5 linked regions of the Rattus norvegicus genome follow. The protein of the gene in region 5 interacts with the protein of the main gene of each other region in a pairwise test. Links are inferred from orthologs where the notes say so. Each region holds a gene or a part of one and is shown on either strand. Other genes may lie near its edges. The genes, in order: Dmd, Sntg2, Spz1, Begain and Dtnb.

Evidence for each region.
Region 1: the proteins of Dtnb (region 5) and Dmd interact in binary tests that used the Homo sapiens proteins (3 or more experiments, as listed by UniProt). The link is inferred for Rattus norvegicus from reciprocal best matches to the Homo sapiens genes DTNB and DMD.
Region 2: the proteins of Dtnb (region 5) and Sntg2 interact in binary tests that used the Homo sapiens proteins (3 or more experiments, as listed by UniProt). The link is inferred for Rattus norvegicus from reciprocal best matches to the Homo sapiens genes DTNB and SNTG2.
Region 3: the proteins of Dtnb (region 5) and Spz1 interact in binary tests that used the Homo sapiens proteins (3 or more experiments, as listed by UniProt). The two-hybrid records come from large-scale screens. The link is inferred for Rattus norvegicus from reciprocal best matches to the Homo sapiens genes DTNB and SPZ1.
Region 4: the proteins of Dtnb (region 5) and Begain interact in binary tests that used the Homo sapiens proteins (3 or more experiments, as listed by UniProt). The two-hybrid records come from large-scale screens. The link is inferred for Rattus norvegicus from reciprocal best matches to the Homo sapiens genes DTNB and BEGAIN.

Annotation. Positions count from the first base shown.
Region 1 is NC_086039.1:51,204,646-51,208,902, reverse strand, and holds the start of Dmd (dystrophin), read right to left. Parts: upstream 2,818-4,257; 5' UTR 2,574-2,817; coding exon 2,543-2,573; intron 1-2,542. UniProt on the Homo sapiens protein: Anchors the extracellular matrix to the cytoskeleton via F-actin. Ligand for dystroglycan.
Region 2 is NC_086024.1:52,587,962-52,591,478, forward strand, and holds part of Sntg2 (gamma-2-syntrophin), read right to left. Parts: intron 2,541-3,517; coding exon 2,411-2,540; intron 662-2,410; coding exon 623-661; intron 1-622. UniProt on the Homo sapiens protein: Adapter protein that binds to and probably organizes the subcellular localization of a variety of proteins. May link various receptors to the actin cytoskeleton and the dystrophin glycoprotein complex.
Region 3 is NC_086020.1:25,531,292-25,534,543, forward strand, and holds Spz1 (spermatogenic leucine zipper protein 1), read right to left. Parts: upstream 2,103-3,252; 5' UTR 1,913-2,102; coding exon 710-1,912; 3' UTR 506-709; downstream 1-505. UniProt on the Homo sapiens protein: Transcription factor that binds to the DNA sequence 5'-CANNTG-3'(E box) and the G-box motif. May play an important role in the regulation of cell proliferation and differentiation during spermatogenesis.
Region 4 is NC_086024.1:133,707,509-133,710,386, forward strand, and holds the end of Begain (brain-enriched guanylate kinase-associated protein), read right to left. Parts: intron 2,770-2,878; coding exon 1,426-2,769; 3' UTR 502-1,425; downstream 1-501. UniProt on the Homo sapiens protein: May sustain the structure of the postsynaptic density (PSD).
Region 5 is NC_086024.1:32,285,081-32,289,297, reverse strand, and holds the start of Dtnb (dystrobrevin beta), read right to left. Parts: upstream 2,817-4,217; 5' UTR 2,547-2,816; exon of another isoform or gene 2,532-2,546; intron 1-2,531.

The sequences.
Region 1 (4,257 bases), on a different chromosome or scaffold from region 5:
TAGGACAAAAGCACGTCTTTCTGAGATAGAATGAAAACCAACCAAAAATTATTCATGGACGGACCCTTGGCTCCAGCCGCATATGTAGCAGAGGATGGCATTGTCTGGCATCAAAATAGGAGAAGTCCTTGGTCCTGTGAAGGCTCAATTTCCCCAGTGTAGGGGAATGCCAGGGCAGGGAAGTGGGAATGGGTGTGTGGGAGGGGAGCACCCTCATAGAAATGGGGGGGGGTGGGAGAGGCGGGTTCTTGAGAGGAAACCAGGAAAGGGTATAACATTTGAAATGTAAATACATAAAATATCCAATAAAGAAGTTAAAAAAATAAAGAAGAAAAAACCATTGCTTCTTACTGAAACAAATCCAAATCTGTACTATATACATGTAAATTATTTATTTGCACATCAAAAACTTATCTTCAGTGATGAATGCTAAACTATATTTCTGTGTATTTTTAAAAATTACTTAATTTTGGATATAATGTTCCATAAACATTTTAAAATAAAGGAACAACATCAATGTAACACATTATAATTTCCATATTGATATTATATAAAAAGACAAGAAAAATCCTCTTATTAAATTAGAAATTATATCATGAATTTAAAGAGGATTTTCTTTTTTCAGTTAACATGCCCTTAAGAGATCTTATAATTAAAATTCTAAAATATAACTTTGTTAGACTTCAAGACAAATTGTGCCATTTAAATATCTGAATGAAATGTCTACTTGCAATGGACTACTTGAATATTCTAAATTATATGTGTAATGCTAAATGTAAATCTTTGTCTTAATGCCATAACCTTTTCATTCGAACAGTAATGTTTTGAGATTTCAAAACAATTAAATATGTTCTTCAAAGTCTTAAAATCTTAAGCAAATTGAGATACAAGACTCAAATATCAAAACACCCAGCTAGTTCACTGTTAAAATAGCAAAAGCTTTCGTGCACCATAACCATTAGAACAACTTTTTTTTCCCTTAAACCTACTGCTATTTTGCAGAAGCATTATTTCACTGTTTAGAAATGCTGTCTATAGCACAGCTGAGCATAAGCTTGCCTTTCTCCACTTAAGAACTGCATTTCTAATCAATAGTCTTCAACAGTGCTCTGGGCACTGGTTTTTTTATTTTTGTTTTGAAGGCTTAATTATCTCCAACGAATTATCTCAATAATATTTATAAGTTAATACAAAAGACATCAAAAGATATAATTGAATTGTGTATACCTATGTGTTACAAAAATATGTAAGTGCTTCATGTATTTTGCACTGAAATAAAACAGAGCAGCTTTTCCTTTAGGAAATAATAGTGAAGCTCACAAAAGAAATGTTGGAAGCAACCACAGAAACAGGTGGTATACAGTGAAATGGAGGAGCATCTATATAAAATCAGTGCATGCATAACCTTGATTTCCACAACCTTTTTCTGAGTATGTGCTTGACTTTTCTTTTCTAGAATTTGTGAGTCATGGATCATTAGCCATTTATGAAGATTTCTATCTTCATTCTTAATTATAAGCATGACTACAGTTCACAAGTCAAAAATAGTGAGAAAATGATAATCTTCAACCATATCTCTGGGACACACTGGCTTCATGATGGATTATTTTTATGTTATTTTTGTTGTTGTGTTTGGGTCAATTTTTAAAATCATTAGTCACAGCTGACTCTTTAAGACTAAGTGGAAGACATTTTTAAATAAAGGTCTGATCTAAAAGTTTTACTGAACTGCTAGGTCACAGTCAACATGAATCACCAAATGACTTACTACAAAATGGGATTACAAGCTTTCTAGTTTTTATTTTGTTTTTAGATCAACACACTGCATGGTTATTTTCCAGCATGAATTGTACCATTATTTAAAGAATAATCACAATATGACAAAGAGCAGTATATTCAAAAGATGAAGTATAATTTAAAAAAAAAACTTAGAAATTCTATCTTCATGTACACTGTCAAAGACAACCTATTTTCTTTACTTTCCCCTATGGTGTGCCAGATAAAACCTTTTCAAACTTCAGGGCTCACTTATTTCCATAAAGAATTAGTTCACTGAAATACATGTCAGTTCACAACTGTCTACAAAACCATTACAAAAAAATAGCAACTAAAATAAAAACAGAGATACATAATCTACCTCACAATAATCAAAATGGTCTGTTTCATGCACTCAAAGCAAGCTATGCATATATTATTTAGTGGTTTCTTAAACAAGAACAATGTGTGTCTCTATTGCAAAAGGCAAACAAATTATAGTAACAAACCCCCACAACTCTTCCTAATATCTCCTCAAAATGTTTCAGTGTGGAACACATACACTAGAATATATATATATATATACTCTATATATATATATATTATATATAATACATAAACACATATAGACAGACAGACAGATAGATAATAAAGTACACAGATGACAAAATTTATGCTTTTTCATAAGCTACTGTAATAAGCTTAAATCAATCTGCCTACTCAGTGAGCTTGTCACAAGCTGAAAGTCATGCCACAGTTAAGATATTTTTAGTTACTTTGTACTTACAACAGTCCTCTACTTCTTCCCACCAAAGCATTTGGAAGAGAAAGTATATATCAAGGCAGGAATAAAAATCTTGGTAAAAGTTTCTCCCAGTTTTATTGCTCCAGGAGGCTTAGGTACGATGAGAAGCCAATAAACTTCAGCAGCCTTGGAAAAAAAAATAGCACTTCAAGTTTTCCTATTCGTTTTTTCTATAAAGACTATTGCCTTCAAGAGCTGAGTTCTGTAGGGGGCAAGTGAGTGAGCCCAACACTGAGTGAGTCAACATAGTAACTGATGCCAGGATTCTGTAGAGGCCTCTGGATATTTCAAATTCCAGGACCTGCGCACAAGCAAGTGACCCGCCTTTTCTCTCAAGTTGCTTTGCCATAATAGGACTGCCCATGGACACTACATATAAGGCTGTGCTTCCAGCATGGCAAGCTCTGTGAATTCAAATAATGTTCAACTCTGTCCTGAGTCACATCCAAACTAGAATAGCACAGGGATCTCAGTCCTGCTCTCCAAGTCCCCTAAATGTAAAAGCACATTAGTGCAATGTTGCCACAATATTTTAGTAACTTTTATGTTACTTTCCAAAAGAATAAACAGAAAATACAGATCCAGAATTAACTTTTAACTGTCTTTTGTTTTTGTTTTGTTTTGTTGTTTTCTCTCTTCTCAACACTACCAAAAAATGGCATTTTATTTTACTGGACATTAAAAAATTCCCAGAATAATCCATTCATTTTAAACTATCTGATATCTACCAAAATTAATTTTTACCCTTGGGATCCAATCAAAACTATGTAGCATAATGCCAATATTCTGATTAAAAGAAGCAAGAGTAGAATGGAGCAGCTGAGTTCTGAAGGCAAAATGTGAATAGGTCTTAGGATGGGACAAAGTTTCCGCTAAAATAAAGAGTCCTCTTGTGAGTAGAACAGGGAATTCTTCGCAAAATACCAAGTTTCAGTTGTAAGTTATGTTAAGACTACTTTACAAGAAATGTATTCTTCCTCAATTTCTGCTGTAATAATTATTAAAACCATTCCATGAAATATTGAGATAATCAGTTAATTGTCACCTCTACACACCAAAAACAAACAAACAAACGAACGAACCTGTAATAGTAATGGACAGAGTTCTGATAGGTCATCTAGGACATTTGTAAATGATTCTTTGTCCACCAAAGCATTTGTATTCATCTTCATTATTTATGTATCAAGTAAGATCAATATTTTAAAACACTTTGATAACAGTGTGAGAAAGGTATTTGCTTTACCATTATAACCATCTTACTTGAGTTGTTTTAGAGTCTTATAATAATTATAAGTTTGCAAATTAAATAGGGTAATGGGAGAGAGAGACTAGAGTACAATGTGTTTAGTAGGCATATGTGCCATGCTTTTCCTCACCCTATATTATCTCATGCTTTCACCTGTCTTCCTTCGCTTAGAAACTCTCCCTCTCTTTTCGTGGTTCCCTTTCTAATTTTATAACCCCTGTCCTACCCCAACACCACACACACACACACACACACACACACACACACACACACACACACACACACACATTTAGATTTCTTACAGGCAAGGGAACAAACTATATTTGTTCTTTTGAGATGGGTCTGGCTCATTTTGCTTAACAACATGATTTCCATTTCTGGCCAATTTTCTTTAAATGTCATGATTGCACTTTTCTTCATAATATGTTAAAATTTCACTGTGTACGTATTC
Region 2 (3,517 bases), about 20 Mb from region 5:
TATTAACAGACCACTAGCTACCGCCAGTTCCACAGCTAAGAATGTCACCAGAATGCCACATGTGAAACCTACCAGACTTTCCTATTTTGCTTTAAACAACCAACTGGATGCTCACATTGCTGTATTCTAAAAGTAGCTTGACTTATGATTTTCTCTGTTCTGTTACCGTGAAAGCTTCATGAAACTGTTACTAAACTGGAATATGGGATTGGGGGGGGGGGAGACCTCCACATGTGTTTGTGGGCCATGGTTATTGAGATTTGGCTCCAGAATAAACTCTCATTGAGTCAATAACATTATACAACAAAATGATCCTAAGTCACACAGGCCTTTCTCCATCCTGAATGCTCTTTGGGCTCTCTTATAGCCCTCTCTAAATCCTGTTCAGATCACATTTTCTACTGAGCACAACCCACAGGCATCATTTATCTCTGTAAACACAGGTGATCAGAACGGTCCCCCAGTGTGTTCCCAGATAAATAAAGAGCTTTGAGTTCACCCATGTGACAGAGTCTACCAAATTCGGTATGATTCTCCCTAGCATTTTCCTATCTAAATTCCACAAAAGGAAGCAGCCGCTTTGGGGGTTGGTTATCCTACTGGGCTGAAGTCATACACCTACCTGGTCACAGGGAGAACAGCATTTGTTTGCCATTTTCATCTGTAGAAGGAAGACAGCAAGGGGTCAGTGTGCCACGCACGCTAGTGCCTTCATTTCTCAGCTTGTCTAAATGGCAGCTGAAATTAACCAGCCCAGGAAAGTTCCTTGGAGATGAGTTTCCTCTATGCTGTGCTTATCTTCAAATCAGAGCAAATACAAATTTATCGCAGCAATTCTCAAAGCAGGAAAACAATGAAACAAAACGACGGGCACAGGCTCCTTAATGTCATCATTCCCAAATACGAGTCCTCGAAGTGAGGGCAGCTGGGGGATGATAGATGCTTAGACTCTACCATGTTGAAAAAAAAAAAAAGGAAGGTGGCCTCTACTCTGTGTCATATTACAATGACCAATGCCCACAGTGAGTAGTCCATTCCATACATAAGTCTCAGAACCATGTAGACATGTAGATGTGACTTTCAACAATTTTACTGTGAAGGAATGGAAGTTCATAGGGAGATTCACTCTGTGCTGTGAGCCCACATGTCTACCCTGCCATGCTGCCCAAGGGTCACCTGTGATGGTCACCCAATCAGGAGAACTATGCACTCACTAGCATTAATTCTAATGTTAATCCAGTCCTAACTGTCTCCTTTCTGTTTGCTCATTTATCTATTTAGTTATTTAATTAAAAAATTATCCATCCAATATCATAGGGATTCAATGTATGGAATATTGAAAGTGGGACTGTAGGAATGTGTTTATTTTTACACCATTAAAGGATAAGTCTCATGCCTTCAGAGTGGATCTCTCATATGACCGCATCTGTAAGCATCTCAGATTATTCAGCTAACTTCTCTCCAGCACTGGCCAGGACAGGCAGGAGCTGAGGAAGGAGGGGCCAGCAGGCACTAGGCTGTGTGATGCAGGGCATCACAGGTTGCATCAAGCTGCCAAGCGCAGATAAAGGAATGTGGAGCAAACATACAGCATAGCATGGGTATTGGGAGGGAACGAAGATGGGAACTGGGCCAAGTCCTTGGCTGTGGGCCAGTCCTGCCACAGCTACATGGATACAGCTTGCAGTACTTCATGAGAGACTCAGCAAGCAGTTGATGTTCCCTTCCCCAGCTCATCTCCACTTATTCTTTCTTTTACAAATCTTACTGACTTCGAACATTAAACTTATCACCCAAGGCATAGAATGCTTCTTTCTGGACCAGTATATTTGGTTAGGTATGCCCTTTTTATTTTTATTTTTTAAAATAAGTGTGTGTGTGTGTGTGTGTGTGTGTGTGTGTGTAAATGTTTGTGCTCATGTTTATGTGTGCACATACTTGGGAAGGCCAGAGGAAAACCAGGGTGTGTGTATCATATTTTTATCCCAGTTAGTAGTTTATCCAAATGCCACGTTGTATTAAGATAGTTTGAAACAGAGACAGAGATGGGGGGAGGGGAGAAGGAAAGGGAGAGGGAGAGAGAGAAATGCAGAGAGAGAGAGAGAGAGAGAGAGAGAGAGAGAGAGAGAGAGAGATCCCTGTGTGTGTATATGACAAGAGAAAGAATGAGAGGGAAGGGATGGAGAGAAAGACAGAGAGGGATCTAGCCTGGAAGTTTCCAATGTTTGTATCTAAACACATTTTAATAGGTTAAGTTTTAGTTATTTGAGCTGGATTGCTGATCAATTGAAACGAGTGTATGTTCTGTATGCAGACCTAACCTTACAGTGGGTTAATTATCCTTGGAAACTTCTCATCATTACTGCAAATGCAAACAAGTGAGGGAGTAAGCCCTGGGCTTTTTGCTCACATGTTGAAGCGTCAGTTCATTGATGTTGGTTGAGATTGCACGCAACCAATCCGCACAGTCCTGGGCAGTGGAGAACTGAAGGGCTCCTGTGCTGGCTCCGTCCAGGGCCAGCACCTCCAATGCACTGGACCTGCAGCAGGAGGGAGGATACCAGGGAGCAGGTCAGCTGGAGAATGACACCAGCAAAAGGGACAACACCAGGGAGCCAGTCAGCTAGAGCATGACACCTGGTTGGGACTCCAGCAGGGGCCAGGTGCTTTCAGCACGTGCTGTGCTATGCTCAGCTGTGACACCCTTGTGAAAAAGCAGACAGTCTTAATCCTCTAGTCAACAACAGGTATAATGAACTAGCCTTACCAAAGTGAGGATCCACACTGAGCTCCCTCACTAAGAGCTGCTTCAAATTCAATAGGCACAAGGAAAGCAGGTCAGATGGGAAAGAAGGTTTGCTCTGGTTGAAATCTTAGTTATCATTTTATAGGCATCTTAGATGTAGTTAGTTTGCAGCCCACCTTACCACCTGAAACCTAACACGCCATTAAGCACCAACACACTCAGTGCTGATAGGGGATGGGGTGCCCTAGTGCATACAATTAGGATCTATAGTGGAGCTCCAGAGAAGCCCTGGGGTCCTTGCTTCAGTGTGAACAAGGGGAGGTGATTGACATAAGGCTGTCTAACGAGAAAGAAATTAGGGAAACGACACCCTTCATAATAGACCCAAATAATATAAAGTACCTCGGTGTGACTTTAACAAAGCAAGTAAAAGATCTGTACAATAAGAACTTCAAGACACTGAAGAAGGAAATTGAAGAAGACCTCAGAAGATGGAAAGATCTCCCATGCTCATGGATTGGCAGTATTAATATAGTAAAAATGCCCATTTTACCAAAAGCAATCTACAGATTCAATGCAATCCCCATCAAAATACCAATCCAATTCTTCAAAGAGTTAGACAGAACAATTTGCAAATTCATCTGAAATAACAAAAAACCCAGGATAGCTAAAGCTATCCTCAACAATAAAAGGACTTCAGGGGGAATCATTATCCCTGAACTCAAGCAGTATTACAGAGCAATAGTGATAAAAACTGCATGGTATTGGTAC
Region 3 (3,252 bases), on a different chromosome or scaffold from region 5:
CCATGATGCCACGTGGCTTTTGCTCAGTGAGAAGCAAGAAAATGTGCCTGCGCTGTCTGTTTTGACACTTAAGTCCAGCTCCCTTAAAGGGTTCGTTTCCACCCCACCCACAGCAGAAAGCTCACTTCCTCTACTTTTTTTTTTTTTACACCAAAAAGGAAGAGTCTAGAAACACCTCTAAGCTTCTGATCAAGTTACGATGGCCTTCGCCCAGAGGCTTCGGCTCCCCAGTGTACCCTCATGCATGAACTGAGGACCAGAAGAGGGACACCGGGGAGAGTAGAGCCAGAGCTAGAGTTAGGAGGGGTGAAGCGTTCTAGGATGCTTTAGCTCTGTAGTTTTCCTGTCCTGTCCTCAGTTATTTTTCTCCCTTAACTCCAACATATTCCACACAAACAGAATAGGGAAACTAAATACTAATAGGAAAACAGGCTTTAAACTATCACAGTTAGATCATTGTAAGTTGTGGTTAAAGAAATTAGAAGAAAACAATCAATCAAACCAATAAAGTGCTTTCCTTTTATTCTTGTTTTTACCCAAATTTTCACTTGGTTAACAATACATACAATAGTTATTAAGGCCCAAACTTCTCTAACTACTGAGATAATATGGGTTTCTCTTATCCTATGCCTCCTCCTTGGTGGAATCAGAAGATCTACCCTGGGTGGATAACAGTTTTGGCTCAAGTTGGATCTGCTTGTGGCGGCTTCTACCTAAAGCTGCTAATGGTTCTCCTTTTCCCCACAAGAGATTTCTTTGCAACGCGGGCGTTGAAGCGGTTATTTCGAGCCTTCTTAGTAAGGCAATCATTAGGGCACCTGAAGATCTTTGGTTTCCTAGTAATCGTGCCTTCCGTTGTCTTCATAGTATGCTTGGAACCGTCCATCTTTTCTGCTTCCGCTAACTTCGGACATTTCTTGTCCTGCTCGCCACATTTCTTGTCCTGCTCGCCACATTTCTTGTCCTGCTCACCACACTTCTTGTCCTGCTCACCAGACGTTTGCAAAGGCTTCTCGTGCCCGGGTCCTGCTTCGTGGAGATGTAATTCCCTGAGGATATCCACCCTCTGTTGTAAGATCTGACATTCGTTCTCCAGCAGGGCTGCGATCAAATGCAGCGAGTGGGTGTCTTGGCTCAGTTTCTTCACCTGCTCCTCCAGTTTCTGCTTGGAGGGTACCTCGTTGTTGTTTTGGGTTTGCGAACAGACTCGACTGCAGTCAACAATGTCTTTGATTTCTTTATGGCATTCCTGATATGATCTCATGAGTTCGCTGAGTTCATTGTGCTGTTTACTCCAGTGGTCTGCTTCCTGCAGTAACTGCTCCATATTGTTCCTGAGTTTTCTGTACTCTCCACGAATGTGAACTGACCCAGTCCGACGTCTTTTCGCGTTCAGCTGCACGCCGTCACAGCCTCTCTTTTCTTCTGAATTGCACAGGTCCCTTGCAAACTTTTGTACCATGTTCTTAGCACTATGGCTTTTGAATAACATCTCCTGCCTCATTGTGTTTTCTCTCTCTGGGTCGAAATGAATGAATAGATCATCTTTAAATCGAAGTTTATTTCTCTTATCAAAACCTCTGATGTTAAGTTCTGACAGGTCTTCAGGAATATAGGTATCATCAAAAGGATCCCCATCTGTAGTCTTCTCTTCAAAGCCTGCTATGTTTTTAAGAACATCTTTAACGTCTTTTAAGAGATTGCTAAATTTCTGTACCTTCCCTTGTTTTCTTATTGGACACATATTATTATTTGGTTCTGAGAAGGAGCTGCAGCAGAAAGTGGGGAGTGATCCGATTTCAAGGAGGGAAATGGTGATCCCAGTATTCGGTGGTTTTTGCTTAGCACAAGGAATAGGGCTAGGAGATGGAGAATGGGCAGGCATCTCAGATGAGCTGTCACTGTCTGCCATTGGGACCTGAGGAAAGCAGAAACCTTAGAGATTCCAGGAAGGACAGATGGCAGTCTCCTGTGAGTCGGTGGAGATGGTACCAAGCAGGAATTATGGACCAGAGTTAAGGACTGAGACCAGGGAGATGGTGTTCAGGTAGAAGGTTACATCTCAAACAGCCCAGGGGGAGGGGTTGGGAAGGGAGACCGGGAGCTGAAGCTCCATCTCCCTTCTGCTAGGCTTCTGGTATTTTTTCCAAGGCCCCAGCAACTGGGTCTTTATTCTGTCATTGCCCCTCTGGGGCAACACATTCTGTTTCCTTTACATCACAATGGAAGTCCCTTAAACTCCTGTCCCACGACTCAGACACCACAACCAACCTTACTCCTCCCTCATGAGACCTCTCCACTAGCCTGCCCCTCTTTTCTCAGCTCTTCATTCTAACGGCATTACAGTAATTTCCCTCCTCACCCTCCTACCTCCAACCTCACCATACCATACAGAGCCAACTGCAACCACAGTGTTCCACCTAAATATATATACATATACATCTATATCTATATATACCTATATACACACGTGTGTGTGTGTGTGTGTGTGTGTGTGTGTGTGTGTGTATAGTTGAGAGAAAGCTCATCAGGCTGAGTGAGGACTCTTTCACAGAAGGGGAAAGTGTTGCTCCTGGGGTGGGAGAGAATGCGGGGAGGTTTTAATGAGAATGGCCTCCACAGACTCAGATTTGAAAACTTGGTCACCAGGGAGCAACACTGTAAGGATTAGGAAGTATGGCCTTGTTGAAGGAAGTGTATTACCTAGGGGGTAGGCTTTGAGGGGTCAGAAAAATCTATTGCAAGCCCCGAGTCTACTTCTCTTCCTGCTGCCCACAGATCTAGATGTAGAACTCTCAGCTCCTCCTCCTGCACCCTCTCTGCCTGCCTGTCACCATGCTTCCCGCTGTGATGACAATGGAAACCACTGAAACTGTAAGCCAGCCCTGATTAAATGCCTTTTTTTTTTTTTTTGTAAGAGCTGCTATGGTGGTGACAGGATACCAAGCAGAAGTCTCAAAGTGCTCCATCTTTAGTGATTTTAGGATACTAATGTCAGAAACACTTTCATTCATAGTCTGCTGAATGTTACGAAGCTATTGGAATGAGTCAACAGCACAGTTATAAACTCTCTCTCTGTCTCTGTCTGTGTGTGTGTGTGTGTGTGTGTGTGTGTGTGTGTGTGTGTGTGTGTGTGCCCGTGTACACGCACATGCACGTGTGAGCATACCGGGCAAGAAACCCAAGGCTTCTATATGGTACGTGAGTGTTCTGCCTCCGAACTATATCCCCAGGCTCCAATTGGGAGTCTTT
Region 4 (2,878 bases), about 100 Mb from region 5:
CTGTCCTAGGATTTGTTGAAAAACACACGATGCATTTTCAGGGGTTGAACAATGATCGTGTGTCAGGTAACCAGGCATGGAAAGAAACAGGGTGACATGAGCAGGAAGCACAGACACAGACCCACTGAGTTTATGTGGTTAAAGAGCCAGACCTGGACTCTTAAATGGCCGCTGGCTTTGCAGAAGTAAGAGGTGAGCTTGACAGAAATTCAGGGGAACAGAAAACTGGATGAGGGCCCGGGGCATCTGTGCCAACCAAGGAGCACATGGCAGAAGTTGGCACCTGGAGTGGACACGGACACACCCGGTCTCTGTTTGGCAGTGGAGCAGACACTGGCTTGCTGGAAGGTAAGCTGTGTAGCCCCCTGCAGGGTGAGTCACAGACAGTGCCATCAGAGGGCAGAGTTGAGGGCTCTGCTGGACAGGGACCAGTGAGGGACACTAGGTCCCTGCTTCCTGTACTGGTTAACGCTGCGGGGAAAGAAACACTGCAAGCCTGGGCTCTTTCCACTGCTGTCCTTTATTAAGGAATGTGAAATACAGTTCTAACGGACGGCATGCATCACAGACGACAGGTGCACAAGGGTGGGAGGAGCCTCATGTCTGAGGTAGAGTCGGGTGGTGTTGGGAGGGGGAGGGGAGGAACGAGCACCGGCTGTTCTGGGGGTGTCCCTGGCCCCTCTTGGGCCCACAGGCCGGGCCACGGAAGAGCTCAGGGTGGATCAGGGCGGAGTGCTGGCTGCACTGTGACACGGGAGCGAGCATAAGACATTTTCTGCGCCCTAAGTGGCTTTGGTTCCCCTCCTCAGTGTTCAGAACTTCAGAATTCCCTTGTTGCTGGCTTCTCCCTACTTGTGGAGACTGGTCCCTCTAGGGCCCCAGCCTCCCCTTCCCTGGGGCAGGCCCCAAGCACCCTCACTGGAAATGAAGGAACTTCGTGTGGGGTACGCCAAGGCTGCCATCCAGAAGTTGGCAGCAAGTGCGTGAACAAACGCTCTTTTTCCCTAAAAAAATAGCTTCACTTATAAAACAGGGGATGCTCACTTCAGGGAAGGGTGCAGAGCGGAAATATTCTGGGTAGGGTTTGCAGCAGAGGCTGGGGTGGACAAGACGATTGGCAGAGGGGGTCTTTTCAGGTTCTACTGGGGTGTTAGTAACAGGGTCAGGAGGAACTGGAACTGGAACAGGAACTGGAACGGGAACTGGAACAGGAACGGGAACTGGAACGGGAACTGGAACTGGAACAGGAACTGGAACAGGAACGGGAACTGGAACTGGAACAGGAACTGGAACAGGAACTGGAACTGGAACAGGAACTGGAACTGGAACTGGAGTTCCTTAGCAGGGGTTGGGACGAGGGGGTTAGCTACTCCCTATATGGGGCAGGGTGGTAGGGAGCCCCTGACTGCAGCCTGCTGATGGCAGTCAGTTGAGCAGGGTTCCGTAGAGCTGGGCCTTAGTGAGACTGTCCTTGCGGCTCAGCCCAGAGCCTCCAGTCCTTGGGAAGGCCTGCTGGGGGCTGAGGCGGGTTGGAGGGTGCATTTCGGGAGAGGCCTCCATGGAGCTAGGCTCCAGGGAATCCCGGGAGCCGTGCTCGGGCTCCGGGCTACTGCCAGGCCCACACAGCTGCACCCCGAGCCTATCCCCATCCCCGTCACTGGTGGCATAGCCAGGGAGAGGATCAGCTGAACGGCTGGGGCTGAGGCTCAGATCACCACCCGCTCGGAGGAAGCAGGGCTCGGCCAGATGACCCTGGGAGAGGTCATCGCCCTCCGAGAAACTATCGGCTTTGTAGCTGGCATAGAGGGGGCTGGCACGGCCCTCGGCATTCTTGCCCGGGCTGCCGCCGCCGCCACCGCCGCCGTAGAAACGTTCTGAGAAGTTGCAGGGCGAGGCGGCGCGGCCTGCAGCGCCGGCCTGGTAAGAGTAGGCGCCCACATCCTCCACGCTCAGGGGCCGCCACTGGCCTCGAATGTCCTCCCGGGCGGCAAGCCGGTTACCGCTCGGCTTGGCCCGCAGGCTCCACAGGTTGGGAGGCATGAGAGCCTGCTGGGAGGCCGGATAGCGGTAGGGCTCGGCCGGGTACGGAGACACAGTCCGAGCGAAGCCTGGGGCTACCTGGGCCTCGAGCGGGGAGCCCAGGGTGGCCGCGGCCTTGGCGTAGCGAGGGCTGCTGCCGTAGGTGGCGGAGGGCGGCTTGCGGCTGAAGAGCTCTTCGCGGCTGTTCAGGTAGATGGCCTGCTGCGAGGCGGTCAGCGTGCTGGCCTGCGCGTGCTCCTTCTCCTCGGACGTGGCGCTGAAGCTGGAGTAGGAGCTGGACGTGGGCAGCGAGGCCGCGTAGCCCTGGAAGGCCTCGCGACGGTAGGCCTCCGGGAAGGCCGCCGCCTCGGCCTCCTCCTCTTCCGCCAGGCTGTCGGTGGAATTCTGCGCACGCAGGAAGCCCACGTCGGTCACCGGCGTGTCCACGCTGGGCCGCCGGTCGTGATCTCGCTCGTCAGGGCAGTAGAGAGCCGTGTCGCTGCAGTAGATGTCTCCCTTGTACGGGGGTCGCGGGCCCGGGTTCTCCACTCCGTCGCGGTAGGCCAGGTCGCGGGCCGAGGCATCCGACATGCGCGAGGACAGGCTGCCAGGGTCGGGCTTCTCCAGCACCTTGGCGATGACGCAGGTGGGCACGCTGTCGGCGTAGGACGGATGGCACAGTGGGGACGGCAGGCTGCAGCCATGCTTCTCCATATGCAGGCTCACACGCTGCTGGAAGTCCGAGGGCAGCTGGAACGGGCGTGAGGAGGAGAGGAGAATGGGGACAGGTCATAGCAAAGAGGCTCACCCCTGGCCCCGAGGCCACGGCCACACCAACATCGCAGACAGAGAAAGACGG
Region 5 (4,217 bases):
AAAAAAGTCTACAGAGCAACCTAGACAGAATGCTATAGTAAAATGCAAAGAGAGCTGGAAATGACTCAGTGGATAACGCACTTGCCACGCAAATATACGAATTGGAGTTCAAATCTCTAGAACCCGCATACAAGCCAGGCAGGTATAGCAGCCACCTACAATGCCAGCGCTCTAGAGACAGACAGGAGTCATCAGAACGAGCTGACTGGCTAGACTAGCCAAATTGGCCAGCTCCAGGTTCAGGAGGAGGCTGAACTTAATAAATAAGTAAGAGAGCAACTGAGAACCTCCAGTGTCAACTCTGGGCTTTCACAGGCATATACAATGTATGGTACATGGATACCATATGCAGACTCCCCCATACCACATACACATGCAAAAAAAGTAAAATGCATAGAAAAAGGCCTGGGAAGAAAACAACAAACTGGTAACCGGAGTAGAAAAAGGAGTAGGTATGTCAAGGGAGTTTTATTTGGAGCAATTTACAAGCAAATATGCATTCTGAACTGCTCAAACTACTGCAACTCCAGGAGCTGCCAGCACAGAGAGACTCCAGTGCAAAAGACACCCTAGAACAGCAGCGTACCTCCAGCACATCTAGAAACCACAGCTCTAATGCTTATGTAATTTTAAGTTAATAAAATAGAGGGAGGGGTTGTCCCCAAGACAGCAGGAGTTAACTTTCTCATGATACAAAAGTATATATTTTGATTGGGATAGGTTACAAAGTACACATGTCTTTTCTTTTTTTGTTTGTTTTCTTGGGGGAGGGACTTTTGTTACTTTGTTTTGCTTTTTTTGTTGTTGTTGAAACAGTGTCTTCCTATGTAACCCTAGCTGGACTTGAAGTGATCAGCTTGCCTCTGCCTCCTAAGGACTTCAATCTAAAGACATATGCCACCATGCCCACCAATATGTACCATTTTTTCAAAATACCCAACTCAATATGCAAAGTCTATCCATTTTATCCTATGTAAACTACACATGAAGAAGGCACAGTAGTGCACACCTGTAATCCCAGGACACATAGATAGGAGAATAGACATAAGTTCAAAGTCAGAATGACAGAGAGAGACCCTATCTTTAACCCAAACAAACAAAAAGTTTGTTTTAACCAGCCATGGTGCTTCACAGGAAGGACTAACAGAAGGATAGCCACAGTTCAAAGTCAACTTACAGCCTGGGCTACTGTATTTCGAGTACCAATATAGCTGGGGTTACTACTCAGCAAGACCCTGCTTCAAAAACCGGGGGTAGAGGGTTTATTTTCAAATAAATGTAAATTAAATATCTAAATAAAATATTAGAAGTGCCCGAAACAAGACACCCAAATTTGCAAAGCCACATAGGCACCCCAAAACAAAACCTAAGAGAGACTTAATGGTTGTACCCTGAAATGCAAATACTAATTAAAATGAACTAAATGAATATACTTCAAGGCTTCTATATATCCAATGACAAATTTGGATTAATATTGCTCTTATTTTTTATATAAGGAGACTAAGGGTCAGATATGTTAACATCTGAAGACATGAAATAAAGGGTAACTGGAAATCCTGCGCACTCTAATATTTTAACTATATTCTGTCTCCCGGGCAAAATTCAGTGAAGCTAAAGACCCTGCCAGCACCACCTTGCCTGCACAACCCCTTCAGAGGCAGTTCCACTTAAGTCTGATAAAAATCCTCAGAGAACACATAAAAGGTCAAGTTTTAATTTGGCAAGCAAAGTAATCCAACAGGCATTGCAAGCCAGGGAAAGGAAGCAGCAGTATGGGGCTGGAGAGTCCAAGCAAGGCAGAGGACAGAACTCCAGCCCTTACAGACCTGAAGAGACTTAAGCATTCTCTCACCTCAGAACCAAGATCCAAGAGGCAGGATAGAAATTATAAAGTGTTCTCTAGGCAAAAGCTCCCTCCAGTCCTCCTCAAACGACAGAGGAGGGGGGAAAAGGCCAATGAGAGAAGGACCGGAACCTGACTTCAAGCAGCCACCCAAAGAACAAGCTTCTGGTGCACAACATACAAGAACCGCGTGGATGAAGAAGTGGCCACAAGCCACCGGAGTCTGCCACCTAAGCCACTGGTTTAGCGTCTAAAACCCTGGGTTACCTGAGAAGGCAAAAAGAGAATCCTAGGACCAAAGGAAGCCAGCGAGCATCCCTAACTCTACAGAGACTGACACTACTTCATATCAAATGTATCAAACCCTGGTCCCTCCATCCACTCCTGCAGTGGGCATCCATTGTAGGGCTTTCGGGATCCAGGCCACATCCTGAGGACTGGGCAGAAAACAGGCGCGGAGCTTAATTCTAGTTGGGAAGGCAAGATTCTCCTTCCAAATTTCTTTCCCCTCTCTTTTAAATGTCAGTAAGACCCTTCAAATCTCTTCCCAATAGCTCCCACCAGCTTTCCTCAAGTATCTTACTTTCTCCACAAGCCAAGCAACTTACGGCCCAGTTTCCCAGGGCTGGGAAAATCCTAAAGAGACCTGAAGTGAACAGAACAAGAAACATAAAATAGAGCACTTTACATTTTGTGTGTATACTTTCACAGCCGGACTGTCAGCACTTCAACAGCAAATAAATGATGGTTGAGAGTGATAAAGTCGTGACCCGGGCGCTGACCGCGGTTCTCTCCTGCTCCGTAGCTAATCAATAAACGCTTGCAGAGAATGCTAGAAAGGTCTCCCTGATTCCCCAAGGCCTGGCACAGGAATTTAACAGTAAGCATTCGTCAGCTGCATCCTCGCTCTTCTCGGGACACTGTGCCCATCAGAGGTGACCTGAGTAGACAGGTTCGTCTACCGGGAGCCTCGGGAGACACTGAGAGGTGATCTGGAATGAATTCCCTCCCCTCTGCCAGGGCCTGCCTACCTCACCTGCCCTCTGCCAGGACCTGCCGCCTTCGCCCCCTTCAGCACCTAACGCTGAGCCTCCTCCCCGCAAGTCCGGCTCAGGCTGCATCAGCAGCGCGCGCAGCCGGGTTCTGCGCTCCGCGGCCCCCCGCGCGCCCGGGTGACCGGAGAGCCCTCTCCGGCCCGGCGTGCGGTCTCCCAAGGGTCGCCGTTCCAGGGCCGCGCGCTCCGCCACCCCGCAGCCCTCCTTTTCGCTCCTCCAGCCCCGGCGGACTCCCCACCTGGCTCGCTTCCCGGCCGAAGCTGAGGGGCCGTCGCGTGGCTCTCCGGCGGCCGCAGCCTCCTCCGACCCGGCCCCCTCGGCAGAGGCAGCTGAAGCAGCGGCAGCGACTGAGGCGGCGGCGCCCACTCAGGCCCCGGAGCCGCCCCCGCGGCGAACGTTCCTGGCGCCGGCTCGCGCCGCTTCCCCGCCCGGCACGCGCAGCGAGCCCGCCCCCGGCGCGAGGGCGCGAGGGCGAGGGCGAGGGCGGGTGCGCGCGGAGGGCGGGCGCGCGGAGGGGCGGGGCTTCCGCCGCCAGAGGGGGCGGGGAGGCGGCCGAGTGCCCTCCCGCGGGTTTGCGCGCCCCCTCCGGGCCTCTGCTGTGCGCTGGCCGCGGAGGCGGAGGTGGAGGCGGAGGTGCGCTTCCACTCCACAGGTAGCTGCCGGGCGGCTGGGTGCTGCGCCGACGTGACTGAACCGTAAGGAATGCGAAGAAATACCCGGTGAATCATTCACCCGCGCCTCGAGCGCCGGGTCCTCCCCCGAGTGACTTTCCACATTGCCTCAGCAGGCTCGTTTGAGCACTAACTCATGCGCCTGGTGCCCGGTGGACACGATCTGGGTCACGGCCCTGGTCCCCAAGAGCGCATAACTTAGGGAGAAGAGCAGCCTTGCGAAGGACCGAGTCCGGTCCTCTGCGCAAAGGCAAGCCACAGCCGGATGCGGTGAGAGGATGAGGAGGGACAGATTACTTTCCGCTTAGTCGTTCAGTAGTTCCTGAAAGTGGGAGTATTTGGACATTAAACAGCTTGGACAAGGGAGCAGGGGCGACAAAGCTTCATTTATTTATGTATCTATATTTATTACCAACTCATCTATCCTTTTTTAAAGCATTTATGTTTTATTTTATGTGTATGAGTGTTTGGGCTGCAATGTTTGCACCCCGTGAGTGCCCCCGGAGGCCAGAAGAGTGTTTTGGATCCCCTGGAACTGTGAAGTGTGGATGGATGCTGGGGAATCAAACGCAGGTCCTCGGATAACATAGCAAGTGCTCTTTGCTGAGCCATCTCTCCAGCCCCTCATATTGCCATTTTTTTATAGAA